Tribolium castaneum: one gene and its partner. The protein of the gene in region 2 purifies or fractionates together with the protein of the main gene of each other region. This does not show direct contact. Links are inferred from orthologs where the notes say so. Each region holds a gene or a part of one and is shown on either strand. Other genes may lie near its edges. The genes, in order: transcriptional adapter 2-alpha and Atac1.

The links.
Region 1: the proteins of Atac1 (region 2) and transcriptional adapter 2-alpha purify together in Drosophila melanogaster (affinity purification with mass spectrometry; 4 studies listed by BioGRID, with this or other methods). This does not show direct contact. The link is inferred for Tribolium castaneum from reciprocal best matches to the Drosophila melanogaster genes Atac1 and Ada2a.

What each region holds. Positions count from the first base shown.
Region 1 is NC_087398.1:11,840,266-11,855,989, forward strand, and holds transcriptional adapter 2-alpha, read right to left. Parts: upstream 7,057-15,724; 5' UTR 6,976-7,056; coding exon 6,915-6,975; intron 6,872-6,914; coding exon 6,019-6,871; intron 3,548-6,018; coding exon 3,112-3,547; 3' UTR 3,084-3,111; downstream 1-3,083. Other genes in the region: rhodanese domain-containing protein CG4456, read left to right, coding at 7,328-7,330, 7,386-7,817; uncharacterized protein LOC655123, read right to left, coding at 14,069-14,523. UniProt on the Drosophila melanogaster protein: Component of the histone acetyltransferase (HAT) complex ATAC; predominantly involved in acetylation of histone H4, including at Lys-6 (H4K5ac) and Lys-13 (H4K12ac).
Region 2 is NC_087394.1:37,100,097-37,115,353, forward strand, and holds Atac1 (ZZ-type zinc finger-containing protein 3), read right to left. Parts: upstream 6,523-15,257; 5' UTR 6,338-6,522; coding exon 6,188-6,337; intron 6,141-6,187; coding exon 6,024-6,140; intron 5,921-6,023; coding exon 5,786-5,920; intron 5,737-5,785; coding exon 5,634-5,736; intron 5,587-5,633; coding exon 5,474-5,586; intron 5,428-5,473; coding exon 5,116-5,427; intron 5,064-5,115; coding exon 4,611-5,063; 3' UTR 4,533-4,610; downstream 1-4,532. Other genes in the region: b(0,+)-type amino acid transporter 1, read left to right, coding at 1,907-2,110, 2,156-2,437, 2,598-2,823, 2,882-2,926, 2,975-3,202, 3,253-3,499, 3,547-3,718, 3,773-3,840; beg (probable malonyl-CoA-acyl carrier protein transacylase, mitochondrial), read left to right, coding at 6,719-7,325, 7,380-7,597, 7,645-7,872, 7,923-8,090; hig (locomotion-related protein Hikaru genki), read right to left, coding at 9,818-10,209, 10,265-10,486, 11,987-12,130, 12,178-12,312.

The DNA of each region.
Region 1 (15,724 bases), on a different chromosome or scaffold from region 2:
GTTAAAATATCACTACTTTGAGTAAAATTTTTTACAAACTTATGTAATTGGCGCAGTCAGTAGGTTAGTTGTACAAATTTTTGGAAATCTTTTTCGGAAGAACTTGGACTTGACTTTTTAAAATTATTGTTTGCGTATTAATGTTATCATTGTGAATTACTGGAGGAGTTCCTTTGGTTTTATCCGAAGTGCTTATAACTACGTTTAATATCTTAGAACTGTTGGAACTGATCAACGGAATTACAGGAATCGTTTTGGAATTAGCAAAATTAAATTAGAATTGCGAGAATTAAATTGGAATTATAGCAAGAATTAGAATTTATTATCTCGAATTACTGTGTATACTAGAAATTGCTAGAATTTTTTTTGAACTCCTGGTGTCATATGTAAGTTCTTTTTTTTAATTACTGGTGTCTTTTTAGAATTATTAATTATGGAATTACTTAAGTTTACAGAATATTTTTGTGTCAGATGATTTTTTTGCTATTGCTGAATGATTACTGGATGCTGATTACTGAAAATGCATATTTACTGACTGACTGACTGTTGCTTCATATTTTTTGCTGTTGTTGAGTACTTGTTGAACACTGATTTCACAACTGCCAACAGATTTTTCCCATCTGCTTTATTTTTTTGAAATATAAGTTGTAACTCATATTATCACTAGAAACTCGTGATGATGGCAAATTTGAAATTTACGCTCAAAAGTAGAAAGAATCAACTTAGGATTCAACTCTTAAATTAGCGGCAACAGACAAATAGTAAAATTTTGCAAACCAGTGTTATCGAAAATAACACACGCTATATACTGAACATACATATTGTATAACCATAGCTAAAAAAATATATACCATTATTATACGATTACTTGGAATGAAAATTACGTTGAATTTCTTCTTTTCTAAAATAATTTAGAAAGAAATAAAACAAATAAGTTGGAATGAAGGAATACGAATTTACTAGAATTTCGAAGAAATTTTTTTGGAATCACTGCAGAAGTTTTTTTTGAAATTGGAAATTTTACACATTTTTTTCAAGCTAACGACAATATTATGCGTATTTTGCAAACGTATTTTGTGGCAAATGAGGATCTTGCAAATATTCAGCAATTATTCAAATAAAAAAATCCTTGGAGTTTTTTATTAAAAAAACAACACAAAGAATTAGCAGTTTTTCATTAAAACGCAAAATTTACTCCCAAATTAAATACTGTATTTTTTATAACTATTAAAAAAATGTTTGGTAACAGAACAATTCTTAAATTGTTAGAGTTTTTCAGATGAAAAAGGCAGTTTTTAAGCAAACAATTTTATTAAATTTAAAAATCATTTTTCGTCAAAAACTTAGGACCTTCTTATCGCATTTCATCAAAAATAATTCAAAAAATCGACAAAATTGGACATATTTAAATAGCTTTTTTTCGGCATTAAATATTTATAATGTAAAATAATTAATAAGGCTCTGGTGTTATAATTTTTACATAAAAATCCGGAAGATTAATAAAAATGAATTAATCATTTTTTGATTTTTGCTTTGAAGATAATACTTTTTTTTAAATAATGTCAGAAACTGAACGAATCCTAAAAAATTGTCAAACCTTTATTCCTCCAATATTTTTCTTTTAATAGTTAAAGCATTTGTACAAGTAGTAGCCAAAAAAAGCTAGAATTATTTAATTTTTTAGGTTATTTCACTTTTACAAAGTTCTACAAAATTTTCTTGTCTAATAAAAATGGAGAAAAAAAAAACTGATTTTTGGTCTAAAAACGTGTTTAAATCCCCAGAACTTTAAAAAATAATGCCATTTTTAACATAATCCTGTCAGTTCTTGGCTTACTGTTTAAGAAATTTTGCGAAATAATTGAGTTTTTGCTAAGTGAACGATTACAAAAGGTAAATTTTTGGTTCCAGTTTAATAAAAACAGGAAAAAAAATGAATGAATGTTTGATCTAAAAATGTGTTTAAATCTTCAGAACTTGCAAAACAATGTCATTTTTGACATAATCCTGTGAATTACTGACTTACTCTTTAATAAATTTTGCGAAATAATTGAGATTTTGCTAAATAACCACTTAGAAAAAGTATATTTTTGCTCATTTTTGACAAAATCTGGGTTTTTTTCATTCTAGTTTTATAAAAACAAGAAGAAAAACTTGATTTTTAGTCCAAAAACGTGTTCAAATCCTCAGAACTTGAAAAAATAATGTTATTTGTGACGTAATCCTGTGATTAAAGGTAAATTTTTGATCAAATTTGGTGATTTTTTTTCGTTCTAGTTTCATAAAATCTTGAAGAAAAACTTTTTGATCTGAAGACGTGACTAAAAAAGTTCTAAACGTTTAAAAACTGGTTGAATTAAAATAATTTAAAACAATTTTGCACCGAGATGCTCAACGCGCTCTCATTTTTACTCTGCGGTATTACTTTTTTTTCGTCTTTTGTTTAAATAGTTCTCCGAATTTAAACAAAAGAAGAAATAATACACCCATAAAAAAATCTTGTAGTTTTTTTTGGTAAAAAAACAACACAAAAAATTAGCAAATTTTTATTAAAACCCAATATAAATACATATTATGACGAAATTATGCCTCCTGTAGTAAAAAAATGCTCCCAAATTACAAACTGTATTTTTTCTACAACTATAAAAACTTCTAGTATTGTATACTGCGTTTAGTTTGGATGTCGTCCAAGACGGCTTGCAACTCCTCGTCTTCGAATCGTCCTTCCAAGCTGGGAATCAAAGACTTTGCCTCTTCAGTGGTTTCAGGACACAGATTAGCAATGGCTGCTAATTCGAACTTGTGCAACTTTTTCTGCATCAACAAACTATCAAACAATTAAACATAAAAAACCCAAAATTTAATGAAAAAATTACTTTCTGACGGCTGAGATCGTTTCCTTATTTTTAAATTTCCTAAACCTATCCGTGTAAGTAAGAGTCTTCATGAAAACATCGGAAAACTCTTGCTCATCTTCCGCCGACTCGTTCTGCGCCTTCCTGTGCTCCAACAACATGTGGACTTCCGAAATGAGCAAAGTTTCCGCATTCTCAAACTCTGTAAAGAAGAAATAAAACCAAACATTCACAACCGAAAGTATATTTGAGAAAACTAAGACACAGGTTTGACAATGTAACCCTCCTGTACTAAAAAATCGTACAAACGCCTAGTCTTATTCACATCAATTTTGAGTATTTTTCTCGCCGTTTTGAGTTTAATAGAACCCATCTTCTTGTTTTCAGTTATAAGAATGTCTTTGAGCTCGAGATAAGTGATGGGTACCAGTCGTACAGTACGGCACAACTCCCTCTCAGAAGGAGTCAGTTTTTCGTAACCGGGCATGCCGATGATTTCAATCGGAGTAAACCCGGATTTTTTCTTCGGAGTTTCCACCGGAAAGCTCCGGTTGGTCAACTTCCAGTTAAACTGCGCGCTGGCGTGGAGCGTCTTCAGTTCGTTTTCGCACTTGTCGTGAATTTCTTTCAATTTAACGTAAAGTCGGGCGTCGGCGAGTGACGTTATTCCGCGTTGACGTAATTCACACAATCTGCAAAACCCCCCTATAAAATTGGGCGCTTTTATCTCCATAAAAGCGACTTATTGATGTTTTCCAAAAAAATCAATGTCCCATATAGATATGGAATCCATACCATGCAATCACTTTGGTAATTAACTGATTAGTGACCTAAAAAGTTTGCGCATACAAAAATACCAAATCAGAGCGAATTTGTTATTTTAGCTTGTTTTGCTTGGTTTAGTTCGTTTTTAAAGATTTATTTGCTTGGCAAGATCTCGTCAAAACATACTTAAAAGTCGTAAACATAAAACGAAAATATATTATTTTGTTTGTTTACTTGTTTAATTTCTTTAGCTCGTTTTTTAAATGATGTTATAGTTGACTTTCCAGTTGTTTAAGCATGTTTTAAATGTAAAATTATAGTCTTTACACTTTTTGAACTAGAGATTTATTTAGTTCGCAAGATTTTGATCGTAAAAAAATCGAAATTCATTATTTTTTGTCTCGTTTTAGTATTTCTTCAAAAACCGTGGTCATTAAAACACTAAATTACTTATAGCTAAATTTTTGTATTTCAGTTGAAAATAAATTTGAGGTAAAAAATGCAATTTTCCTGAAGGAAAACGTGCTTGAAAAAACACATAATTCAGTCGAAAACGATGTTATTATCCTGTTTTTTAAATTTTTTACTACGTTTTTCTCCCAGAAAGTTATTTATTTTAAAAAATTCTTCAAAATTGAGAACTGGATCGAATGTAGCACTATTTGCTATGTCTCATGTTTAACCAAGGTTTTCAACCAGATAAAAGAATATTTATTTTGCGAGCTTTGCAAAAATTTCTCAAAAAATTGCCGAAATATGTGTAAAGTAACTTCGTTTTTGCAAGATTTTGTTAGAACGAAATACCAATAATATCACAAAACTAAGTCAAACGTTTTTCTTGTTCGTCAGGCTACAGCTATTTGAAGAATTTTGTCTGTCAAAAATTCTTCAAAGCCTTTTAGTTCGTTTTTAGCTAAAAATTCTCTTTCATATATTTTTATTAACCTTACAATTACACCAAAAATTGTGTTAATGTTGTCGTTTTCGTATCTTTGGGCATGTTTTAAAATAAAAAAAATTGCAAAAACTAACTGAAAATCCACAAATTAAATCGAAATTGTTGTTGTTTACTTTGGATTGGTAAATTTACTACTTATTTAGTTTGGATAATCTTGCCAAAACACGTCTAAAATATTACAACATAATTAGAAAATTCTTATTTTGTGATATTTCGCCAAAAAACATTACTTTGCAATTTCACGTGTTTTAGCATTTTTTTTTAAATTGTGTTTAAAAATGACATAAAAGCATAAACCAGGAGGAGATAACACAAAAGTCGATCGTTTTTCTTGGCCAAAAAATGAGGAGTTTTGTCAATCAATCAAAAAAAGATGTTACTCAAAAAAATCACAAAATTAAGTCAAAACTTTTGCTTTTGCAAGCCGAAGATTTTTAAAGACCAAAATTAATGCTATGTTGCAGCTTTTTGTGAGCCTTTATACATGTTTTAAGGTAAAAATTAAAGTGTTTAAAAATTCTCTAGCTAGAAATTCACAGAATTAAATCTAAATTGGGGTTATTTTAGTTTACTTTGCTCAATTAAGTTCCTTTTTTGAACGAGAAATTTAATTTAATTACTCTGCCTTTTTCGAAAGTTTAGCATTTCTTCAAAAAACGTAATCACCAAATTGTTATTATTATATTATATTTTTAATTATATTTAATATAATAAAATATAAATAATAATAACAATTATATATTATATAAATAAATAAAATAATTAAATATATATGTAATTATATTCTTAACTATCATATTTTAAAGCTCGTTTTTTTAAGGTAAAACGCAATTTTTACTGAAATTTTGCTAAACTTGCTTAAAAAATCTGCTCGAAGATGACAATATTTTACTATTTATGAGATTTATTACCACGTTCATCCATAAAAACACATTTATTTCGCAACATTTGCTCAAAAAGAAGCCAAAAAAATTGCGATTAGAACGAAATTAGCATTATATTTGCTTTTTCGAGTGTTGAAGCGCCGATTTGTTTGAAAAAAATGTTAATTCTGCATTTAGCGAGTGATATAACTTTTTTCGCGAGATTTTTTTAAACCAAAACGGTTCCATTGTAAATAGCTATTTGTGCAACGAGATAGAAAAAGTGAATTCTTTCTGGAAAAAACTTACGAGTTGAACACAATGTTTTGTAAAATTCCGTGAATATTGAAGAGTTTGAGAATTTTTCATCGAATTTTACAAGTGTTTTTTTTTCCAAAATACAAATTGTATTATTTTTCGTCACGCCACTAACTGTTGAAGTATGTTTTAACATTTTTCTTTGTTTTTATTAATCTTTAGTGAACATTTTTTTCTCCGTCGTGTTTTTTTGGAACTCAATAAGCCGCTATTATGGAAAATAACCAACTTTATATTAATTCAACCGTTTGATATGAACCTAAGAATTTGTATTTTGAGTTCGCCGCTGTGGTGTAACCCCTCCATCAACATTTCGAACTGGACAGGAGTACAAAATTGCATAAATCGGATCAGTTTTTCATACACAGGACGTGTAATCGTAACGTCATACCGATGAAGCCAAGCGTAAACTTTCCGCAGAATAATCAATCCGTGTTCTCTTATGATTTTTTTCCACCTTTGGCGCTCCCTCAACCGCCGGTTATAACTCTGAATGATCGCACATTGAAGATTTGTGATCAAGTCAAAATGAGGATCGTCCTTATCAACCGGTTTAAGGTTCGAGAGCAGATCCTCAGCCGACGAATCGAACTCGCATTCGAAATCGGACCTCGCGGGGTTATAACCGGCCAAAGACTTGTACCCCACTGTGTTGGGGGAGTAGCGAGGGGGCTCATCGGTGTCGCTAATCCGCTGTCTGTAGGGCACCACCGGCTCACAAAACCAGTCCCTTTTGCTCGCCTCGGGCAAGTCTTTGGACCCCTTTCTGTCTAAATAAAACCAATCGTAGTGCGCCCTAATCTCCCTCACACTCCGATTTGGGAACTCTTTCGCCACTAAATTCCAGTTCCCGTATTTTTGTAACGACTCTAACAACACCACCTCCTCCCGAGCCGTCCAGTCCGTGTTACCCCAAACCGGAAAATCGTCGCGGATTATGTGATAATCGTGATCGTTCTTGTGCCCCCCAAACTCCGCACCTTTCGAAAAACACAGCGAACAAATATTCACTTTACACAAAGCGCAATAAATGTAAGGCGCGACCAAATCGCACGAACAATTCGAACAAACACTATCAGAGTCACTAGAGTAAAACGCAGGGGGGCCACAGTCTGAAACCTCAGTTGAGAACGAGAAGTAAACAAGGGGGCTCACCTTTGGGAAACTGCAAGTCAGCGGCGTCTTCTTCGGTTAAGTCGGTGTTTGCGTTTGCCATTTTTTCGAAAACTGTTTGGATACCACAAAAACTTAGGTTATGTGCATAGGTTATGTGAGCGGCAAGCGCTGCCTACCTGGCAAAATTTAAAGCACTAGCACTTTACTAGTGCGGTGTTTTTTGACGATTATTTATGAAATTATTATGTAATTCGAACGCAATCGGCATAAAACGTGAAAAAAAAAATAATTGGGGAAAATTTGATTGTAGCCACGGGACCTCTAATTTGTTTTGTGTGAATTGTGTGATACCAACGGTGACTGTAAAAAGTCTCCAAACTGATTTTTGCCAAAACTGTCGTAATTTAATAAAACAGGCGATAAAAAATAGTAAAAATCGCTTTATTGGCGCTATGGTAGTTCACTTTACAAAAACTAATCAATTAAGTTAATTACATAATTATTTTTTAGGTTAGGTTACCAATGTCGCTATCAAGGGGGCCCCAAATCCTCTCCCTTGTGAACAAAACGCCCGTCTTTCTTAGACTTTTCGCAACGCAAATCGCCTCATTTGATGAAGTCAAGTCAGTAAAAACGACTCCTAAGACTCTTCTAATCGATGTCAGGGAGCCCCACGAATTGCAGGAAACCGGAGTTATTCCTGACAGCATCAATATTCCACTTGGCGAAGTCGAGAAAGTGTTAAAAGACATGCCTTCTGAACAATTTCAAAAAACTTACAAAAAGGCTAAACCTGATTCTAGCACCCCCTTAATTTTTTCGTGTCGTTCGGGGAAACGTAGTGCCCTTGCGTCCGAGATTGCGACGAAGTTGGGGTTCAAAGATATAAAGAATTATTCCGGGGGGTGGCTAGAGTGGGAGGAAAAAAGTAAAAATATTTGAGTTGTAAATAAATAATACGTTATATGAGTGTAGGGGTTGTAGTTTGATTTGGATTTAGGTAGTGCCGTATTTACTTATTTACTGCGGCACAAAAGTGATAAACATGGAATGTTAAAAAATAAGTCAAAAAGAGTTTGCAATCTACAAATCTCGTCAAAAATTTTTTGAATGATAACACCTTTTGAAAGGCCTGATCACCATAAGTCAAAAATACTCACAAAAGCAAAACCAAATAATAATTTTGCATGTGTTTTGCCCTGAAGTGGATATTAGATACGATTTCTTCATTTGTTGATGTTAGGAGCATCCAGCGCCAATGTGGACACAAACACTTATTGCAAAAAAACATCAGCGCCGTTTTGAAAACAACATTTACCTACTCCATGACCCCCTTCCGTACTTTTAATAACGTGGGACAGTTTCCTCGAACTTTTCGTCTTCTTTGTTGGATTTTTTAAATGTTAATTGTCAAATTGAAAAAGTGCGCGCGCATGCGCTTTGATTTTTAACATGTCATTCAAGAATTCACTGGTTGAATCTTTTTGATTAATATAAAAGCGTTTCAATTCAATATTTCTTATTTATTTCCTCTCATTGTCCCAATTTTTGTGCCCAACATTACCTAGGGGGGTAGAATTCAGAGAAAAACTGAAGATGTGAGATGCAACAAAAACAAAGACAGACTCATTAATCATCATTTTGTGAATTAACGTAGGGCACGTAGTGACTGTTGTAAAATGTGTAAGCATTTTGATTGGGCCGTTTGAGGTCGGCCATTAAAATTACGGAGAAAAACCAATCAGTTTGGATTTTTTGATTCATTGAAAATTGTGGTTTTGGATATGATTGGTCAATTTATGGTCAGCCATTATAATGAAGTTAGAAACCAATCACTTGAATTTTTGGACTCATTCACAATTCAGTGGGAATACCGTGAATGGTTGTTTTCCTCTTGGTTTAAATTTGAAAGCAGTCAATAAATAAACCTTGTTTTTTTTAAACGTCTTTTTTTTAATACTTCCCTATAAATAAAAAAATTATTGGTAAAATTGGCAACAACTCACCTCAAGTGCCTCAAATTTTGTTGATTTATTTCGATAAAAAAAATTACGTTTTCGTTGAAGTATTGCCAAAAATAATGGGTTTTGGATGTATTTCTTTCCTTTGAACGCATTATTATCAAAATTTTCTTTTTCGGATGTTTATTATTGGGAAAACACTAAATTTGTAGGGCACTACCCTGTTTTTTTCATGTGCCCAATTTTTTTGGCTTTGCTTTTTGCAGGGTTTTGGGCCTTTTTTCATTGTTTACTTTTGAGAAAGCCGCTAGATTTGTGAGATTCAACCTTGACTTTTAAGACGCCAAATGTTCTGGTCAAAGAAGTAACAATGTAGTATGTCCTTCTAAAAAGTTTTATTATGGAATTATTTAGGCTAATAATTCCATAATTATGGGGGCAAAAGTTACCCCAGAAGTACAGATTATAGTTTTTATCTTTAAAATTGCTTATCCAATTTTTATAAAATTTGGTATACAGTCGTTATTATAGATAATCATTTAATAGTGCAAATTGTAAGGTTGTAGAACATTGTTAAATCGGGCTACGAGAGCCCCCTTGCCAAAAATTGCTTCATAACTTTGCAGCACAAATTAATATGACTTTTGTTTTACTTAAAACTCATACCATTCAGAAAGTTTTCTATCCCTTGTAATTTTTTTTGTAAAATGTACCTTTTTGAGTAAAATCATAAAATGTGCAGAAAATATGCAGTCGATATCAACATATACATCACAATGTTTTTAAACTAAACAAAAACTTTACAAAATTCTTATCGGTAGGTATTTGTCCATGTTTCTGTTATTTTACTGATTTCGTCTCTAAAATTTTTACAGAGGATCTTTTGCTGTAATGTATAATAAAATAAAATATTCAAAATTAATCAGAAAACTGCAAAAAAATAAAAAATGCCAACTTTACGAATGAAAACTACGCCAGCAAACAGCGATTTAGAAACTTTTTGGTGTTTATAAACTGCCTCAAGTTGGATTCTTAAATTTTTTGAATGAAACTAAATTCTTTACAACTTTGTTTCTTACATTTTTTATTTGTAGCGTTTTCGAAATACGAGCGAAGCCAAAATTGATTATTTCTTGACTTCCACTGAATTGCAGCATTGTGTTAACAGATTAAGACTAGACTGGTCGTTTCGTTGTAAAATAATTGAATGTTCAGCGATATAAAAAACGCACTTTATTAAAGTACCAAAAATCTCAGTCCGCTGCTGGATTTGACGGTTAGTTTATTTAATAAGCAATTATAATTTAGGTACGCGAAGGCCGCTTATTTTTAGTACACAGGAATGTTTAGACCGATTTGAATAGAATATAATCGCAATAACTTCGAATTAATTTACTTTAATGAGTAGAAAAGGTGATAAAACCGCTGTTATCTCAATTGAGAGTTTGCGACCTCGCATTATCGCTTTTATTTAAATGAATGAATCCCCGAGACGTCCACCTTGAGGCAGGGACTCCGTCGTGCATCATCGCAAAGTTTAATTGGACTTGACCGGCGCGCCAAAAACCATTTCATATCACATGTTGCCTCCATCGTGTAACAATCACGCTCCCAACTTTGCTAATTTCCGCTGTTTCGTTATCGGTGAGTGCGAGTTGAGTGATGCGGCGGGAGTCCTGGTGCTTCCTCCAGGTAGGTAAACCCCTCGGCCTCCAAGTGCCGACTCTTGCTTGCCTTGGACGGTCCAATCCTAATCCCGACCGTTCAATCGAATTTATCACTTATTTACACTACGTGTTGTTATCAAACAGCACAACAGGTGCTCGAATGTTATCGGGGGGATGTTCGAGGGAACGGCAATGGACACGGACGTGTCCTATTATTCAAATGGGTTCGATAAGGAGTTTGCTTTCTCGTGCGTGAGGAGATTGAAGAACGAAAGTTTATGCTAAATATTCGGTTACAGTTGAAGGTCTTGGATGAGTGAGACAATCGGAAAAATACGAATTGTAATTATTTAAACAGTTTTTTATTAATTTCCATTTAGGAGATAATCTACCAAATGTGCATTGTTCTCACTACTTCTCACTCCAGTCTAGCAATTGCGTTTTTTAGCGACAAAACCATTAAAACATTATAAATTCATTACCCAAGGTCTTTGATGAGCAAATTATTCGATTAGTAAATTGTCAAGTGCACAGGAAAATTAATAACAATTACAGTAAAGTTCATTTGTGTCTCTATTCGATAAAAACTAATGTCAGGTTTTCTCTGTTTCGTTTTCCAATAATATAATTTACATACGGAAAAACATGAATTAAAAAACGTATTGAAGAAATAGTCAGAATCTTTAGCTGTGTCTGGGGAAAAATAAAATAAAAACGCCATTAAATTCTGAACTAATTCGATCTTGTAGACTACTTCAGTAAACACACTTCAAATAAGAGAGCTTCTGGAACGGAGAAGTGAATAAAAAAATGAATGAAAATTCTTTGAATACTGTATAATTTTCATCGAAGTCCTGAATTCATATCCCAAGATCTTAGTACCAATTTATGCGGGTTTTTGTTTGTGTTTGATAAACTAGTGCAAACTGAGTGAAAAAATGTATTCTAATTAAATATTATCGTCTAACTAAATACGATAATCAAATATTATTTCTTAAAAACGTACAAATTTTGCAGTAATTTTGCGAATCCTACTGACTGCGCCAATTTTTTAGTAAGCGTGTAAGTGTAAAGATTTACAGATGAAACTGGCGAAATGATTACGTATTGTGATTAAGTTTTCTGTTAAAAAGTCCTGACTTCATATCTCAAGATCTTAGTACCAGTTTATGCGGGTTTTTGTTTGTGTTTGATAAACTAGTGCAAACTGAGTGAAAAAATGTATTCTAATTAAATATTATCGTCTAACTAAATACGATAATCAAATAGTATTTCTTAAAGACGTACAAATTTTGCAATAATTTTGCGAATCCTACTGACTGCGCCAATTTTTTAGTAAGCGTGTAAGTGTAAAGATTTACAGATGAAACTGGCGAAATGATTACGTATTGTGATTAAGTTTTCTGTTAAAAAGTCCTGACTTCATATCTCAAGATCTTAGTACCAATTTATGCGGGTTTTTGTTTGTGTTTGATAAACTAGTGCAAACTGAGTGAAAAAATGTATTCTAATTAAATATTATCGTCTAACTAAATACGATAATCAAATATTATTTCTTAAAAACGTACAAATTTTGCAGTAATTTTGCGAATCCTACTGACTGCGCCAATTTTTTAGTAAGCGTGTAAGTGTAAAGATTTACAGATGAAACTGGCGAAATGATTACGTATTGTGATTAAGTTTTCTGTTAAAAAGTCCTGACTTCATATCTCAAGATCTTAGTACCAGTTTATGCGGGTTTTTGTTTGTGTTTGATAAACTAGTGCAAACTGAGTGAAAAAATGTATTCTAATTAAATATTATCGTCTAACTAAATACGATAATCAAATAGTATTTCTTAAAGACGTACAAATTTTGCAATAATTTTGCGAATCCTACTGACTGCGCCAATTTTTTAGTAAGCGTGTAAGTGTAAAGATTTACAGATGAAACTGGCGAAATGATTACGTATTGTGATTAAGTTTTCTGTTAAAAAGTCCTGACTTCATATCTCAAGATCTTAGTACCAGTTTATGCGGGTTTTTGTTTGTGTTTGATAAACTAGTGCAAACTGAGTGAAAAAATGTATTCTAATTAAATATTATCGTCTAACTAAATAGATAATCAAATATTATTTCTTAAAGACGTACAAATTTTGCAATAATTTTGCGAATCCTACTGACTGCGCCAATTTTTTAGTAAGCGTGTAAGTGTAAAGATTTACAGATGAAACTGGCGAAATGATTACGTATTGTGATTAAGTTTTCTGTTAAAAAGTCCTGACTTCATATCTCAAGATCTTAGTACCAATTTATGCGGGTTTTTGTTTGTGTTTGATAAACTAGTGCAAACTGAGTGAAAAAATGTATTCTAATTAAATATTATCGTCTAACTAAATACGATAATCAAATATTATTTCTTAAAGACGTACAAATTTTGCAATAATTTTGCGAATCCTACTGACTGCGCCAATTATTTAGTAAGCGTGTAAGTGTAAAGATTTACAGATAAAACTGGCGAAATGATTACGTATTGTGATTAAGTTTTCTGTTAAAAAGTCCTGACTTCATATCTCAAGATCTTAGTACCAATTTATGCGGGTTTTTGTTTGTGTTTGATAAACTAGTGCAAACTGAGTGAAAAAATGTATTCTAATTAAATATTATCGTCTAACTAAATACGATAATCAAATAGTATTTCTTAAAGACGTACAAATTTTGCAATAATTTTGCGAATCCTACTGACTGCGCCAATTTTTTAGTAAGCGTGTAAGTGTAAAGATTTACAGATGAAACTAGCGAAATGATTACGTATTGTGATTAAGTTTTCTGTTGAAAAGTCCTGACTTCATATCTCAAGCTCTTAGTACCAATTTATGCGGGTTTTTGTTTGTGTTTGATAAACTAGTGCAAACTGAGTGAAAAAATGTATTCTAATTAAATATTATCGTCTAACTAAATACGATAATCAAATATTATTTCTTAAAGACGTACAAATTTTGCAATAATTTTGCGAATCCTACTGACTGCGCCAATTATTTAGTAAGCGTGTAAGTGTAAACATTTACAGATGAAACTGGCGAAATGACCACGTAATGTGATTAAGTTTTCTGTTAAAAAAAACAGCCTGAGTCACAAATAAGCGGTAAAACAAAGCAATTACCATTAACTTAATCATTTATTGGCCAAGAACCAACTGCAATAATCTCGGCTCGGTTTTTATCGTGCTTGTAGGTAAATATTATCTGTGTAATTGGGTTTCTCTTGATAACTTTTATTGTGTTGATTATTTTGGTCGTTTCCGGTGTCAGATTAGCGTCAAACAACTTAATTAAAATGCAACGTGAATAAAAATCGCTGCGCTTTCTCCAACCCAATTTGCATCTCCAATCCTTGCTACTGTTATCTTTATTTCAACACCCTTTGTCCTTGACAAATCCATTAGCGTCCCAATCGAATAAAACTCCATATTCCGTCTCGATTTATTAACAACAACGACAAAACAATTACAAGCAATTAACACAAACGATTAAAAACCAATTTTCGCATGGCGGTAGTGTCAATTAATTATTGACATCTACATTGTATCAAACTCTCTTGACCATTAACCCTACGAAGCCACAGCCTAGCACCACGACGACGACGCCCAGACCCAGAACGGCCCATTTGTGCCCATTGGGCGAGTGGGGCGAATCGGGGGGAAGTACCCGGAATTGAATCTGGGATTCCCAGTCGACGGAAAAATTGGCGGTTGATCGCCGAATCCGGGTGCCTTCTTCGCAGAGGCGGGTTTGGCAGTCTCGGGGGCGGAGGCAGGCCGACATCCGCACTGAAAGCAGGAGGTCGTCGGCGGGGGCGGCGCCTTGGAATAAGAAGGCGCGGAATGGGAATTGGACGGATAAGGGGCCGGTTTGTTGGGGGTGTTGGGGGCAGATGGAGCGGATTGTGGGGTTGCGGCAGCCGTGCTCGTCCACGAGCACGACGGAGCGCTGCGAGGAGGCGCTGCGGATGATCACGGTGCCCAGGCGGCACGATTTCCAGCCTTCAACATAAATAAATTGAGTGTGTTACAAATCGAACGCATAAATTGATTTAGATTCAAGAAATTCTGAAGGCTAAGCCCCAGAAAAAATCACGAGAAATCATTTTAAAAAAGTAGGCAAAATCCTAGGGAACTATGAAGGAATTGTAGGAAATCGTAAGGAAATCTGGTGTATAAAATTTGGGGTGCGGTTTCCGAGGGGTAAACTGCAGAGGAAATCTTCAGGAAATCATGAAATTCTGTGTGCTCTCTCGGCAACATTTTTGCAATGATGCTAAGCTAAAAAAAACTTAAGAAAGTTATTTTTTTATCATTTAATAAAATCTACATGTGCATTAAAGATTTGAAGACGGCTTTAAAAAACTGAGGCTGTTGAAGATTATTATCGCACACTTTTTGTTGTGAGAATGCTTAGAAAAATTTGTAATTTACAAAATTTTATAAATGCTCGGGTAAATGTAATAAATAAATTAGGAAGTTTTAAATTCGAAGCTGGTGCTTGCAGGCTACAGGAAGTAATTAATTAGTTATACATACAGGGTAACCCAGGAGTGCGTGCAAGCTCCATAAACCTTTTTTTCTATGCAGGATATCAACTTTATTATTTTTTTAAACGATATGTCTGACAATAAGGACTATTCTAAAATATTTCAATTTGTATACGGGTGTTCCAAAATAAAATACATTACCTGTTTTTATAAAAACTATACTAAAATCGTTTCCTTTATGATAAACTCTTGTTTCTATTACAATTTACAATTTGTTGCAAGATATTTTTTACAGAATGGAAGTCCAACTCGATTCTTTTTTCCGAAAAAAATCTATTTTTAGGTGTTTTTTTTGTATGATTTTTGTGGTTTTAATTAAATAGATAAGAATAGTGTGAATTTAGTGACGACAAAATCGTACTTTTCATGTGTTAAGCCGTTGCGGATTTTGCTCAAATTTTTGGGGTTTATTGAGTCTTTGCCGTATAAAAGCGAGTGTGGGAATTATTCCGAGCAATTATTGACCACACATTTGAAGATAAGAAAGCATGTGAGTCAAAAATTGTCATATTAAGTCAATAATTACCCGATTTTTGCTTTTTTTGGCACTTTTTTTAAAATTGCCTACTTACCTTTTATAGTCAGACTACTGGAAAAATCGTTAATTTTGTTTAATTATTTCTGCATTTTTTGTCGAAAATTATCAAACCAGA
Region 2 (15,257 bases):
AATTTTGTACATAGCACTCAAATTAACAATTAGGCTGCCAAACAATTTAAATGTTCTTAAAATTGTTGATTACCAAATCGAGTAAACAGCATTTACCCGTAATTTACGTTGTAATCATATGCTCATGATCCTATTTGATTATACCTTATTATTGCTTATTTACAAAATGTTTAGAGCAAAATGTAACAAATAAAAATACGATACGAGTGACAATAAAGTCATTTTTTTGTTCGAGTTTAATAAAAACAGGAAGAAAAACTTGATTTTTGGTCTAAAAACTTGTTTAAATCCTCAGAACTTGCAAAAATAATGGCATTTTTGACGTTGTTCTGTGATCTAATGCCTCAAGCTTGTCGCTAGAGAAATGTCAGACATGATTTTTTTTATCACCTTTTGTATTATTTTATTGGATCTGTAAAAAAAAACGAAAAAGAGTCGATGACGTCATTATGTACTTAGTAGACTCATCCCGTATATTTAATAGATAAGAATAATGGACATTATTATGTAAAATTAACAGAGAAAAACAGACATTTTTCGCCTTTACAGACCAATAAAAATTACTAGTCGGTACGTATTTAAAAGATAGAGTAATAGATAATAAATAACTAACAGATTAATAGATATAAGCATACTATGCCGGTGATGGTTTCAAAGTTTATTATGGAAACCTCTAATATAACGGAGAAAAACAAATTTTTTAAAATTTTTATGCGGAGTGAATCTACAAAAATTATATTTTTAGTAGATATATATGAAAAACTAATGACGCACATAATTCAGAGTTTGCTATTATATTTTTCTCTATGTTTGTGAATTTTTTCAGAATTTTTCTACAATTCCTTCGAATTAAAATTTATTAAATGATTAATAAATTAACTAATATTAAGAAGTGCAAAAAATTATTGTACGGCTTAATAAAATATTTACTATTATATTTTTATTTAAAAATTTTTAACAATAACATTAAACTCGACATTAAATAATTTAATGTCAAGAAGTCAGTGTACTGTCCTGTGTAAATTGGTAAACAAACATAAGAGTGGTTTAATCTAGAAATCCACGATTGCAAGTGATTTTGATTTAAGAGAGTATTTATTAAACTGACTGAAACAGTATAAAAAAACTTGAGTTTAGATTATTTTCTGCTTTTATTTTTTGAACTGAAGAAATACAAAAACTTTGTCAGTTCCAGTTTTTGTTAATGAAAAGAAAAATGGTAACAATTGAGAAAATGGAGTTCCTGATGAACTTCCAAGCAAAAACTTCACAGTAATATCCTAAACCAGAACTTTTAAATTAGTCCATAACACCAATATTATATTATAGTGAAGTTTATAGTTATTTATTTTCCCAGTAGTCAATAGAAATGCTGTTTCTACTTCGTGCCTCAAAATTTTAACGTTTTTAATATACCTTAAAAACAGGGCAGAATCCTAACAATATAATTGCATGTCCAAAGGTCAGTTTTTTTAATCCGATTTTAATAATGTTATAATAATAAGGCGTTAATAGTTATGAACATAACACATAACATGTCTGAACCTTAGGACAGTTAGCAGAGAAGAGACAGCGTTCTTTATAGGGGAGCTTTTTCTTCTTCCTTGTTACCACCTTGTAACTGGGGCTGTGCGTGCGCATCCACGAAGAGTTTGTAAATTTTACAAAGCTTGAAAATAAAATAGAACTAAATAAATAATACCCAAAGAAAAATGTTTTATTAATTTTTTTCGCCTTTAAAAAAAAGCTAAGTCACTCAGATACGGACAATAATTTCGAATACGTAAGTTTTCAGATCAAAATAGGCGAGAAAATAACATAATTTTGAACATTATTTAATTAGGAAATGTTTGAGCCTGTTTTACGAAATTTCAATAGAAAATAGTGTCTAATGATAAATTTTTAGGGACCATAGCGGCCACAAATGGCGACGCCAAACAAGGCGTCCAACTCAAGCGCGAATTGGGCCTTTTTTCCGCCATAAATCTAATTCTTGCCGTCATGATAGGATCCGGAATTTTCGTCTCTCCAGCTTCAGCACTCGAACATTCCGGTTCAGTTGGAATGTGTCTAGTTGTATGGACAGTATGCGGAATAATCTCCCTTCTAGGTATTTTTTTTTCGTAAAAAAATGTTTTTCCAACAAACATTTTAGGAGCTCTGGCTTTTGCCGAACTAGGCACTGTTATCCCACGTTCAGGGGCCGAATACGCCTACTATATGGACTCGTTTGGCCCCTTGCACAAATTCTGGGGCCATTTGCCCTCATTCATCTACTCCTGGGTCATGATTGTGATAATCAAACCGGCAGAAGTCGCTGTTATTATACTGACTTTTTCCGAATATTTGTGCCAACCGTTGCTAGATCTGATGTGCATACAGGACGACTCTGAAGAGGTGAAGAAGGCGGTCAAAACGGTGGCCTTACTCGCCCTAGGTAGGAAAAAACTTATAAACCCAGAATAACTAAAAATAAAATAAACGTAAAGAGAAAATTCTAAGTAATATGTAAAAAAGTAACTCTGTAACCAAGCCAATATTACTTGAGAAACTACGCTAGATAATAGCTATTCAGTTTGAAATCGTACTCGTTGTAGGTATAATAACATACATCAACGTTTCAAGCGTGAAACTCTACGTCAAAGTGCAGAACATTTTCGGCGGATTTAAAGTATTCGCCTGTTTGGTGGTGATTTTTGGCGGCCTTTACGAAATCATCAAAGGCAACACTGACAATTTAAACCGGGGCTTCGAAGGCACAAAGTACACACCGAAAAGCATCGCTTTGGCCTTTTATAGCGGACTTTGGGCTTATGACGGATGGTAATTGTAATTGTAAAAACCAGGCCTGGAAATGGCACACACTCACCATTTTTTACAGGTCTGCGGTCACTGTAATCACTGAAGAGATCAAACGACCTGAAGTGTGAGTAATTTTTAATTCCTGAACAAAAACGTGACTGAATAATTGCAGAAACATCCCGAGGAGCATAATGATAAGTGTTCCCATAGTCACCGGTTTGTATGTCTTTATGAACATGGCATACATGACCGCATTATCGATACCTGAGATGATAAATTCGCCTGCTGTTGCTGTAACTTTCGGTGAAAGGGTTTTAGGCCCTTTGGCGTTTTTGATACCACTAGGAGTGGCGTTAGCTACGTTTGGATGTGCCCTAAGTATACAATTTGGGGTCACTAGGTACCAAAAAATTAATTTTGTGTGTCTTTTAACGAATTAAATAATTTAAGGGTGTGTTATGTGGCAGGACAGGACGGCCTAATGATCAAAAGTCTTTCCTTCGTTCATCATGAACGTCTAACTCCGTCATTCGCTGTCGTTTCTCAGGGGATTTTATCGCTCCTTTTTATCGTAGCTGGGGATATTGTTGAACTGATCGAATTTGTTAGTTTCCTCATTTGGATATTCTACGGGCTGGCTTTTGTCTCGTTACTTGTCTTAAGGAGGACTATGAAAGATGCTCCTCGACCCTACAAAGTACATATAAAATCTTTTTTTCGGTTTGGTTTAATGATTTTTTTCAGGTGCCTACATGGATTTGTGTTTTCGTTTTATTGGTAGCTATTTATTTGAGTGTTACGCCCATTATTACGGATCCAACTCCGAAATATTTGCTCGCTTTGGCGTTTATTTTGGTGGGGGTTTTGGTTTATTATTGGTTTGTTTACAAGAAGCGAACACCGGAATTGTTGATGAGTATGAGGTTTACAATTTTTTGTGGGGTAATTTACTAATTGTTGCAATTTTTAGGAAAGTTTACACGTTTTATTCAGATTTTATTCGCGGCTGTGCCACCCGATAATCCAAATGCTACATAAGAAATTATTTATTGAGATGTTATGTAATTTATAATTGCAGTTGTAATAAAATGAAATATAAACGGAAATGTATTTTTACGATAAGAAACGATAAAAACATCATAAATGATTTATTATTCTTTTGACAGATAAGAACGTTAAATACATATTTTATTTTACTGAATAAAGACCGCTCAATGAAATAATAAGTGTAGTCAAGTTGTCAGTGATACGTTAAATAAATTAGTTGCAGTGAATAAATTAAATTCAACTTGTAGAATTTTGTTTAAAACTGTTTTTCAATGGAATTTAAAAAAAAACTGGAAAGATTTTGCTTAAACTATAGGTAAAAAATTGTAGAATTAAGTCTAAAAAAATCAATAAATTTTAGGAAATTTGTAAAAACAACGGAGGAAATCACTTAATCAGGTCTAGAATGCATTATTTACAAAAAATTATGAGTAAACTCTGAAAATTCGAAATATTTGACCAAAAAAAACACTTTCAATAAATGCGTATTAAAAGCACGCAAAAATTCACAACACGCACTGAATAATATTAAAAAAGTTATGTAAGAATTAAGATAAATGATCAACAAAAAGGTAACTAATTTTTGCAAAGCTGTAAACAAAGTTTTATTCATTGATTTTTGTTACGTTATCACGTCGATTTTCAGGAGAGCTCTGAAGGGTTAAACGAAAAGCTAACATATAAAAAAACTTTTCATTGCAATCACAAATTTACATACAAACAAAGGCAATAAATAAATAAAATCTTCAACAACAAAACGTTCAATCCTTATCAAGCAACAAATTCGAGTGCAAATAATCGTATGAAAGATTTTCAATTTCGCTGAACAAATCGGACCCAAGTCCGTCCACAAACTCGTCATTACCATAATTACCAAACTCCAACTTTGGCATTTCTTCACTTTGATTTTTATTATCAATTTTCTCGCTTTCGTCCATTCCGTTTGCCATCACTTGGTCCTTGACATTATCCGAAATATCGCTCATTTCTTCATCACTTGATTCGTTATTTTGATCCAAACTGCCACTATTTGACTCTGAATCACTTTCAATTTCTCTATCACCACATGCGATTAAATTGTGGTTTAAAGGGTGGCTATTATCGGAATAAATTTGTGTTAAAACACAGTCTGTACAAAAATCAATTGAGTCATTTTTGCAAGTGTTACAATGCCATCTGGTGCCAATTATTGGTTCATCGTTGCAATAATCACACTATAAGAAAATAAATCACCAAAAAATTGGCTAAATTATTATTATTTTTTACTTTAAATCCCACGTGTTGGAAATTAGACCCACTCTCATTCTCCCTAATTTTAACTTTTCGTATCCGTTTTAAAAGTTCCAGCTGTAACTCACTGTCACTTTTTTGGGGCAAAATCTCACTCTCCTGGTGATAAACCGAAGGTATGAGATAATTGGAACTTGTAGAAGGCTGTATCTCATCTGTAATTTTCGAACTAGGTCCAGGAACATTATCCAAGTCATTCATTACTACAGGAACACATAAATCGGGGAAAAAAGTTGTAGGTTTCCATAAATAATGATTGTGACGCTGGTGCTTATGTAATGACGTTCTCTACAAAAAAATAATTTTTTGGTGCCTTAAAATAATGTAAATTCACTTTGTGTTTTTCGGCAGATTTTGGAATTCGGCCAGGAATTGGCAATCCAGCTTTGTACAATTTCACAAAATATTTCTGAATTCGGCTCGTGACTTGCTGAATTGTTCGATTACCTAAGAAAATTTAACCAAGTTTTAATATTTTTCGCCTAATTAATTACCTAAAGCATCAGCGATTTTTTTAAACCGTCTCATTTCAACCGGTTCAGGCGGATAAATTTGGAGCAATTCTTCTAAACGTTTCTGCTCTTCTGTTGTCCATTTCTATAGAATCAAGCAATTTTATTTGAACCGATTTTACAAAATGTGTTACCCCATGTGAAATTTTCGTTTCTTTTTTCGGCGTTTCGGGTTTTTTCTTAACAGTCTCAGAACCGTCTGAATAAATCAATTTGAAACTTTCCTCCGGGATTTTAATATCGTACTTTGACCAGTCAATAACCGGCAACTAAAATGCACCAAATGAACAAAATATTCCTTGCTTTATTAAAAATTATATTTTGTTCTCTAATGTAATTAGGTGAAAAAAATCTCAAAAAAATTGTAATTACTTCAGGCATGCGGTGCATATCTGGCATTCCCAAAGACTCCCCTTTTATAATTTTCTCCAAGACTTTGGCCGGGTCTGCCAGTGCTTCTTTCTTCAATTCTACTGCTTTGTTATAGTCCTGAAGACTTTTTTAATCGAAACGTAACTAAATTCACACAACTTTACCTTTATTGCTTGTTTTCTCTGAGCACACAGAATGAGCAAGTTTTTAAGAACCTCACTATAGTCCTTATTTCCTCTCAAAGCCAAGTGATCCGTTTCGAAATAGTACAAATCTTCTTCAGGATTTATGTCCGATTCTTGCGTATTTGTCATTTTGTTTGTAAAAAATTGACTAGATATTACACAATTCACTCTCGTATAACTTAATTTACAAAAAAATACAAGAAATAAACACTACACACGTGAAATTGACAGCTGACCTGTAACCTTACTTTTGACAACCTTAAACAAGACCAAATTTACGAAAGTGGTTCCGTCCGATCTTCATTTTCGTTAATTTTCCTTAAAGCTAGCTCAAGTAGAGTAGTTTGCATCAGTGGTGATAAATTTGGCGTCTTGGATTAAAGTTTAGATTGGGCGAACAATCGGTCATATGGTCGCAACTTGACATTCGAGGTTAAGTTGAATCATTAAAATGTGTTTTTATTTGAATTAGTTTTGTGTGTTTTGCTTGATTAACAGTTTAATTATACCATGATGTTTACTAAAATTATTACACGAAATTTTCTGAAAGACTGCGATCGTGTTTTGGTAGGGCTTCGCCCCTTCTCCCTGTCCTCAAATCGTAACTGTGATGAGAAAAAAACGCAAGAATCTCCCCTAAAGAAACTCCTCGACGAATCAGCAACCTTTGAAGACTTGCACCCCCAGACACAAGAACAACAATGGGCTACTTTGCCATACCCTCAAGGCACCAAAATTCGCAAACAGGGTGTCTCATTTATCGAAAAACCTAAATATGATCCACGCGAGTCCTCGATAATTTTATTTCCCGGTCAGGGGAGCCAATTTGTCGGTATGTGCAATGACTTGCTCAAGTACCCCATGGCTAGGGATTTGTTTGAGTTAGCGAATTATATTTTAAAGTACGATTTGTTAAAATTGTGTCTTGAGGGTCCCAAAGACAAATTGGACCAAACAAAATATAGTCAACCGGCAATAATGGTCAGTTCTTTAGCGGCAATTGAACGACTGAAAGAGGAGAGACCTAGGGCTATTGAGAGTTGTGTGGGGACAGCAGGGTTCAGTTTGGGGGAAATTACAGCGTTAGTGTTTGCGGGGGCGATTGGTTTTGAGCGAGGTTTATTTTACAACCAGTTGGCAAAAAATTGAATTTTATTTGGAATTTTTTAAGGGTTACGATTGGTGCAAATTCGGGGGGAAGCAATGCAATTGGCTAGTGAGGCGTACAAGGGGGGGATGGTCACAGTAATGTACGGTCCTGACACGAAGTTAAACCAGGCACTAGTCAAAGCCAAGGAATGGGCAACTGATAAAGGCGACTTAATGCCCGAATGTCAAATTGCCAATTATTTGTACCCCCATTGTAAAGTCATCTCGGGGAGCGAATCTGTAATTTTTTTTCTTCATTTTTGTAGTTGTTATGCAGTTAATTGTAGGCGCTTGATTATTTGGAAAAAAATGCCAAAGAATTAAATTTACGTAAAGTTAAAAGACTTGCGGTTAGTGGAGCTTTCCATTCCAATTTAATGTTACCAGCGGTTGAACCGTTTCGAAAGGCATTAAATAAATCAGAAGTGAGCAATCCTGTAATTAGTGTTTATTCAAATGTTGACGGGAAAAAGTACAAAGACGCAGCGCAGATCAAAAAACAATTGCCGAAACAGGTAATTTAGAAGTGTTTTTTTTTTCGTGTTTTGAGTTTTTCTTTCTCCAGATTGTTAAACCTGTAAAGTGGGAACAACTTCTTCATGTTGTTTATGAGAGGAGTCAAGGGGATTATTTCCCAAGGACGTTTGAGTGTGGCCCAGGCACGTCCCTAAGGGCTATCCTTAAACAAGTGAATGCCAAAGCATGGACTACGTGTTTTAATATTCAAGTGTAGAGTTTATTTTGAATAAAATTTTTGAAACAACTATTATTTTTTCTTTTTCCAATTCCCCAAAACCATTAACGAACATTTTATCTTGAAGCCTAATAAGGCAAAAATTAAAAGGGGCATCCGAATGTGCTTCAAATTATTTATCGAATGGTGAAAAAAAATAATTTAAACGAAATTGCTCGTTTGTGAAATTCGGTTATTGGAGCAAAAAGTCGAAAATGAACCTCAAATGTAGAGAGCACGCAAATTTGAAATCGCGCGCCTCTCGATTTGACGTCTCGACGAACCAACCAATGAGATGTCCTGACTTGATGTCACGCGGTGGTCTAGTGGGGACGCACTTTTTTCACAAGCGCGTCGTTAAGTTTTTGCTTTTATGTGTTGTTAAAAAAGTGTTTTTCGCGTAATTAGTGCCAAATTGACTGAAATCAAAGTTTTCTATTGGAAATCTGACGAGATGACATCATCGGTTGCCGGCTGGAAACGAATTCCAAGAAACGCTGGAGGACCGGTTCAAAAGCGAGGGAGACGCTACCTATAAGGTTAGCAATTTTTGGTATTATTGCATTTTTATCGAGAAAACAGAGCTGATAAAGGGCCAAATTATGTCTGAACTTTTATTTTTGCCTTGTTCCGATGCTTTTCTCCGAGAGTTTGATGAAACAAGACTCGAAAATGGAAAAGTAGGCCGGGCAACGCGATACCAACCTATTAAATGTCCCTAACGAAAAACAAAACAATGGTAGAAATTTTGTCAGAAAATTCCATAAATGTGATTTTTTGGGCTTATTTTCTTCTCACTCACTAAGTTTTTTCAGAGGTATTTTTAGTTTTTCACTAAAAAAAAATCATAACTCTAGAACTAAAAGTCGTAGGGCGAAGCAATTTGTTTCAGCGAATTCTACGATTTATTTTAAATTTAAAAAAAATCTAATAGAATTTTCCGTTATTTTTGTGGATCCCACTGACAAAAGTAAGAAAGAAAAGCCACCAATACAAAGAGACAAATAATTATGACATTAGCAGTTTTTGCTCAAGGTTTGAAACAGAATGAATTAATTATTTGAGTGCATCAACCAAGATAAAGACTTCTTTTAAACAACAACACAAAATACTGTTCATTAATCCTGGCTTAATTAATTGGTTACTTATTTTTGTGTTAGTGAATACGGACTGAAAACGTCCGGTTTAATTAATTTCCCCAGTTTTTCCACATGTGAGAACAAAAAATACCGAGGGCAAAGTGTATACGCACCATTTGACGACCTCTTTATTAACAGTTAGTCATTTACAAAATTACTTCAGCGGAAAATTGTAATTTTTTGTTTGGTCTTCTCTTACGACTCGAGTTAAATCAACTTGATGACTTTTTTTTGACCATAAGCGTTCGTCATTGAAAAGTGTTCGCAATCAGTTGTACGTTTTATTGACAATATAAATTTATTACATAAACTTTTACAGATGAATATAAATTGACTACCTTAAGGCAGTTTTTGAATTTATTTACATAAAAAACCAATCAATTACATGGTACATAAATTTCGTTGTAAATACATTCACTATCGCTAGAAATATCTACAATTTGATAAAAATTTGTATTCGGCATGAGATCATCATGTGTAACAACTTTTTTGGTAAAAAATAACCGAAAAATACTTAATTACGAGTCATAAAATCAACGATGTTTCTCCCATCATCATTATCACAAACATTCAACGCTTAATATCTTATTAAATCTCCGAATAATTGGTGCAGTTGGGTAAGGGGGCCGACCACCTCCCATCTGGGAGACACTTAGGCCTTGCCTCCAACCTGGCCTCAAACCCCGGACTGCAGGTGATCTGGAGCTCATCTCCAGGCTCGTAGGCAAACTTCGTGGGGGCCACCAGCCCATTGTCGGGCTCCCCCAAATAGGGGCACCGCGGTTTGCAGAAAGGGGGCGGGTGCGACCAAAACCCAGTCTCGGTACAAATAATGCTGGCTTCGCCCTCCAGCTGGTGGGCCCCCCTGCAGGCAAACTGTACTAAACTGCCCACGGCATAGCGGCCCCCGTCCATGCCCGCCGCCTCCGACTGGATGAGGTGGCCGTTGACGGGAATCACCGGGGGCGGGCATTGAATAGCTGGGTTAAATTTAATAAATCAATTTTGGTTTTCGAAATTTTGGCGGTTACTTACGGACGCATTTGGGCAAAGGCCCCGACCAGTTACCGTTCAGTTCGCATTCGATGCCTGGGGGCCCCATGAGGCGGTAGCCCCAGGCACAGCTGAAGATAGCACGGCCTCCGTAACTGTTGTTGTGCTCTTCGAGGTGCAAATGGGGCTCGTAGAGGCCGCCGGGGGTGTCTAATGATTCGCATTTTACGAGCTCGCATGTTGGAACAGGGGCTGACCATTTGCCTGATTGGAAAAATTTAAATGCTATAGGTTATTTTATACCTCACTGTTTTTTTAAATCAATTGTCAATGTCAAAAATTTTGAAATTATGTTGGAACCCTGCGACATTGCCATAGGAACGAAGCCAACGTAGAAACAATTTGACAATTGATTTTTAGCGCATTATTATTTTTTTCTTAGCAAACCCTATTAAAGAATTCATTACCATTTAACAGTTAGATTATTTTACCTATCAAAACGTAATTTAATTACCTAACATTTCTATTATTTTGTCTAACAAATTTTATTTTAATACTAAGCTATGTACGACATTTTACTTGAAAATGGCTATTATTTGCTTAGCAGTTTATTAGTATCCATCATTTTTAAATCGTTTGTGAACATAGTCACGATTCTGGGGTTTAGAACGTCGCGATTTGTTGATGTACTCGGGTTGTAAAGTTGGAGCTTGATTATGAGATATATTCTTTTGTATGCAAAACGTGCATCTGGGGGTAAAATGCAACGGGAAATAAGGGAGAGATAACTTCAGACAAAAGTTACAAAGAAGGGGTTAGTTATTTTAGAGTTTTATGAGAAAAGTGGATAAAACACTTTTGTGAAATTCTCTTAACTAACTAGAGCAAATAAATTAAAAATATTCCTGTGTCTCGTATCCAATTTATTCAACAACTTTTAATATAATTTTCGTGGTCACAATTCATTCATTTTTCGCTCTGAATTCAATTTGGTGACTTTCGGCTTGTTTTTAACGAAACTTTTTTTAAATAAGACGTGATAAGATTCAGGAGTAATGTTTTATGAATTTTAATCTTTCCAAAAATAAATTTTTTGACACCAAATATTAAGTTTTTAAGCCATTATTGTCACACAGTATATTTTAGTTTAAATTTTAATTGGAAAACAGTCGTTTATGCCAATTATTGCATACTTAATCATGGTATGAGTGTTTCTTGTCAATTATCTCAGCCATAAACCCAATTTGCTCATTTTATAGTAATTACAACAACCAATTTTATAATTAAACATGTAAGTTCATTTAATTAGATTTGAAAACAAACAAATTTGAATTTCGTTCCGGTCCTCAATTACAAACAGTTGCGTATAAAACTCATCCTCGTAAAAAATACAACATTTTTTTATATCAAACATTTTAGGAGTAGTACTGAGAAAAAAGAATAAATATAAACATAAAAAAATATATAGCATTACACATAAAACGGCATAAAGAAATAAATGTTTGCCGTTTCGGTTTATTACGTGGGACGGCAGAGATAATGTCGGAGATTTTGTCAATAACCAACCAAATAAAAACTAATTCAAAATTACTTAAGTAGGCGGTTTATTTCTGAAATGGCGGTTTTTTCAAGCGAATCTAAATTCCCCACGAATATGATTTCACTCCGACATTTCGGACATTGGAAAGCCTCTCATGAGACCCGCGAAATCCTCGTTCGGTTGAGGATTGAAACCATAAGTAGTGCTTGTCAAACACGACTCACCCGAAGCCTGACAGGTGAGATTAGCTGCACCATTAACTTTGAATCCCATTGGACATTGGAAGATGGCAGTGTGTCCAAGACGGGTTCCTTCCACCCTTATGGTGAGATGGGGGCCCGACACAGAGATGGGGTCACAATGAACGGCTAAATTACAAAAAATAAAAGTTCTGCATAATAAAAAAAATCCTCACCTGCAACTTGCAGAGTGAGACTGTTGGTGATTCCTCTAGGAGTGGCGCAAGTGAACGTACCGGAGTCTTGGGGCTTCACATAATAAATCGATAATCTATACTTCCAATCACGCTCTTCTGCCGCTATTGCCCAACCTGGAACAATTTGTTTGCTTCGATAAGTCTCTGACGAATTCACCTCGAGACGATTCGCTCAAGGGTGATAGAAACACACGACTTTTGCTGACTGATAAATAATTTAATTATTTCGGTTCGAGAAAAGTAATTAATAAAAACGTGTCACTGACAATACGACGGCAACAATAGAAAAATGAATTTTAATCAATGGGGGAACGGGGTTTATTATCCTGTCTATGACAAGTGACCAACTATTAATTATCTTTTGTATCATTATCATTAACAATTCAAAAATTAATATTCTCGGTGAGGTTTTTTAATAATAAGAATAGTTTATTTGATTCTGTAAATTATTGTTTTTATCACAAATTAGACCAAATGATAGTATCTGCAAACTATTTTTGTTGCAGATGACAGTGGAAGACACTTAGTAAATAAACGTTTAAAAAATTCTTGGAGAAGTTTCTTCCGAAATTCTGCTAGGCATCATTCACCAATTTATTTTTTCAGTTGTTAAAACAGCATTCTACAATGTAGGCTTATCTGTCAATTTTTGACATGAGGCTAAAATTCCGCAGGCATGGCCTGCTCCAATTCAGTTTATTTTCGATCTCATGTTATTATATTAATTATCTTTCGTTCGAGATTATTAACAGTTTTATCAAAATTTAGTTTTCGTGTGGGTATTTTTAAATGTTTATTACAATGATAAAACCTTCCGTAGCGCGCGCGCTATTTTTGTCTTATAAAAATTTAACGAGGTCTCTAAACCTCGATTAGGGCCCCTTTCCCGATAATCTGCCTGTTAAATATGAATATATCTCTCTTTATAGATGTTTGTGTAGGCTGGAAGTTGACATGCGGAAACCATTTGTTTTATTGCTTTCCATCGAAAAGACATTGTTCACGTCCTATGGGAGCACAGCGTCTCAAAATTTATGAAATATCTCCTCAGAAACAAATCCCACAAAGTCGCGAATTTCTTGTTTCATCGTGTTCTAATTTCGCTTGAAGTTTCCTTTGCCTTTAACAGGTCCGAATAAATTGACGCTTGGAATTTACTTGCGAATAAATAAATGCCTCAATATTTTCGTTTTACGGGCGATTTATTGTAAACGTGCTCTAGTATTACCCAGTGGGTAAATATTAACCGACGTAAATTTTAAAATATATACCTGCAAGGGAGGAATTTTTAAATTATAAAAGCCACGACATAAATCAGCGCACGAAACATGAAATTTATTATTTAACACCTGTTTAAATCCAGACGATTGCCAATTTCGCAAATTTATCGAGTTGTGAAATGTGGGAAACATATTCATTATTTATCGAATTCTGTTTTATCATTTTGTAGCATTACAATCGAATGCCAGGATTCGTGGTTTCTTTGATCAAATATTGAAAGTTAAATTTCGAACCGAACTTTTCAAATTAAAACTTAAAATGTTGCCGACTCGCTCGACCTACAACATTATCACAACAAGATTTTTAATCGACTCACAAGTACAATTTAGATGTTTTGCTTTCATAACTGTTGATTTAATTAATGATAAAATTGACTCAGAAATGGATTTTTTTGCTGAAAAATTAGTTAGTGGACTAATTAACGCAGTAGAGATCTATTTTTACTCCATATTTTATTAAATTCTCGTCTAGAGTTAATTTGTGAAGCATCTAGGCAATATTGAGTAAAAACGAATATTAAATTTTCTGTAAAAATTTCACAACAGGTATACCGCCTTTCAAGTTTCCTTCTCTCTTTGAGCCCTCATCTTACATTCAAATTAAATTCCATTTTGCGAACGAAAGTTGCAAAGTTATAATTAATAGGTTAAAAAAGCTCATTGGTGCCCTTGATAAAACGTTATCAGGTTCCGATAAGCGTATCTTAAACAGACAGCGAACAAATGGCTTTTCATTAAAGCTCTCCACGTCATTGTTTATTTTGACCGAAGAACAACGTAATCGTCCAACTCATAAACACACTTCAGCGCTTCCAAAGCTCATGACAGGAGGAGAAGTTTTTTTAAACACTAACAAATACCTGCTTTTTCAAGCTCTCGATATTTATCAATTATTTTTACTCACAAATTTCTTGACCGAGGAAAGCTTCATAATCATATTTCACGCCGGGATTTTTTATCGGATGATTAAGTACCGAAAAAGCGTCTTTTAATTTTCATTAATTTGATTAATTAGTGCTTTAAGCAACGAACGTTGCGTTAATAATTTCCGAAAATAACGATCTACGTTCAATGTTTGGTCTTGATGATTAAATTAATTAGAGATTTGACCACTGTAATCATCATGAAGATGACATTGTTCAACACCTACTCAGGCTATTCTAATTTGGTCACATTTACTCTCATTTAGGGCAGAGTTTTCAGGATGAAAGCAAGCGGTTGGGTCATTTAATATTTATATATTTTAATTTTACAGACGGATGAGACATGAAAATGAACCAAAAGTTGGGAAAGGGCGCGTTTAATGATCTAAAAACACTGAAATAAAAAGATTTTGGTGTGGTGTAAAAATGGTGGATGCGCCGGGCTAGTTACTGAAAACTAGTTTTTTTCAGATTTTTACCTAAATATTATTTTTTTCAATTGTTTCAGCGAGTTTATTGTTGACTTTTAAATAATTTAAAACTAATTATTTTTTTACAAAAGCCATAGATACTAACCTGCGTCACCTAACCTAAAATTACGACATGGGTATGCAAAAAATTAACTTTTTTATTTTTATTATTTTGGATTTAATTTAGCAATTTTTCGCTTTGTTTGTGATAAAATTTCGTGAAATAATTATTACAGAATTCTAGAAAATCAAAATTTTTGTCCCAATTTAACGATTTTCAAAAAATTGTGATTCTGATTGAAAACGACCTAAAACGAGAAATGTGAATTAAATTTTCGCAAGGAATGACATTATTTTGGGCAAAATTTTGGTTTATTCTATTTGAC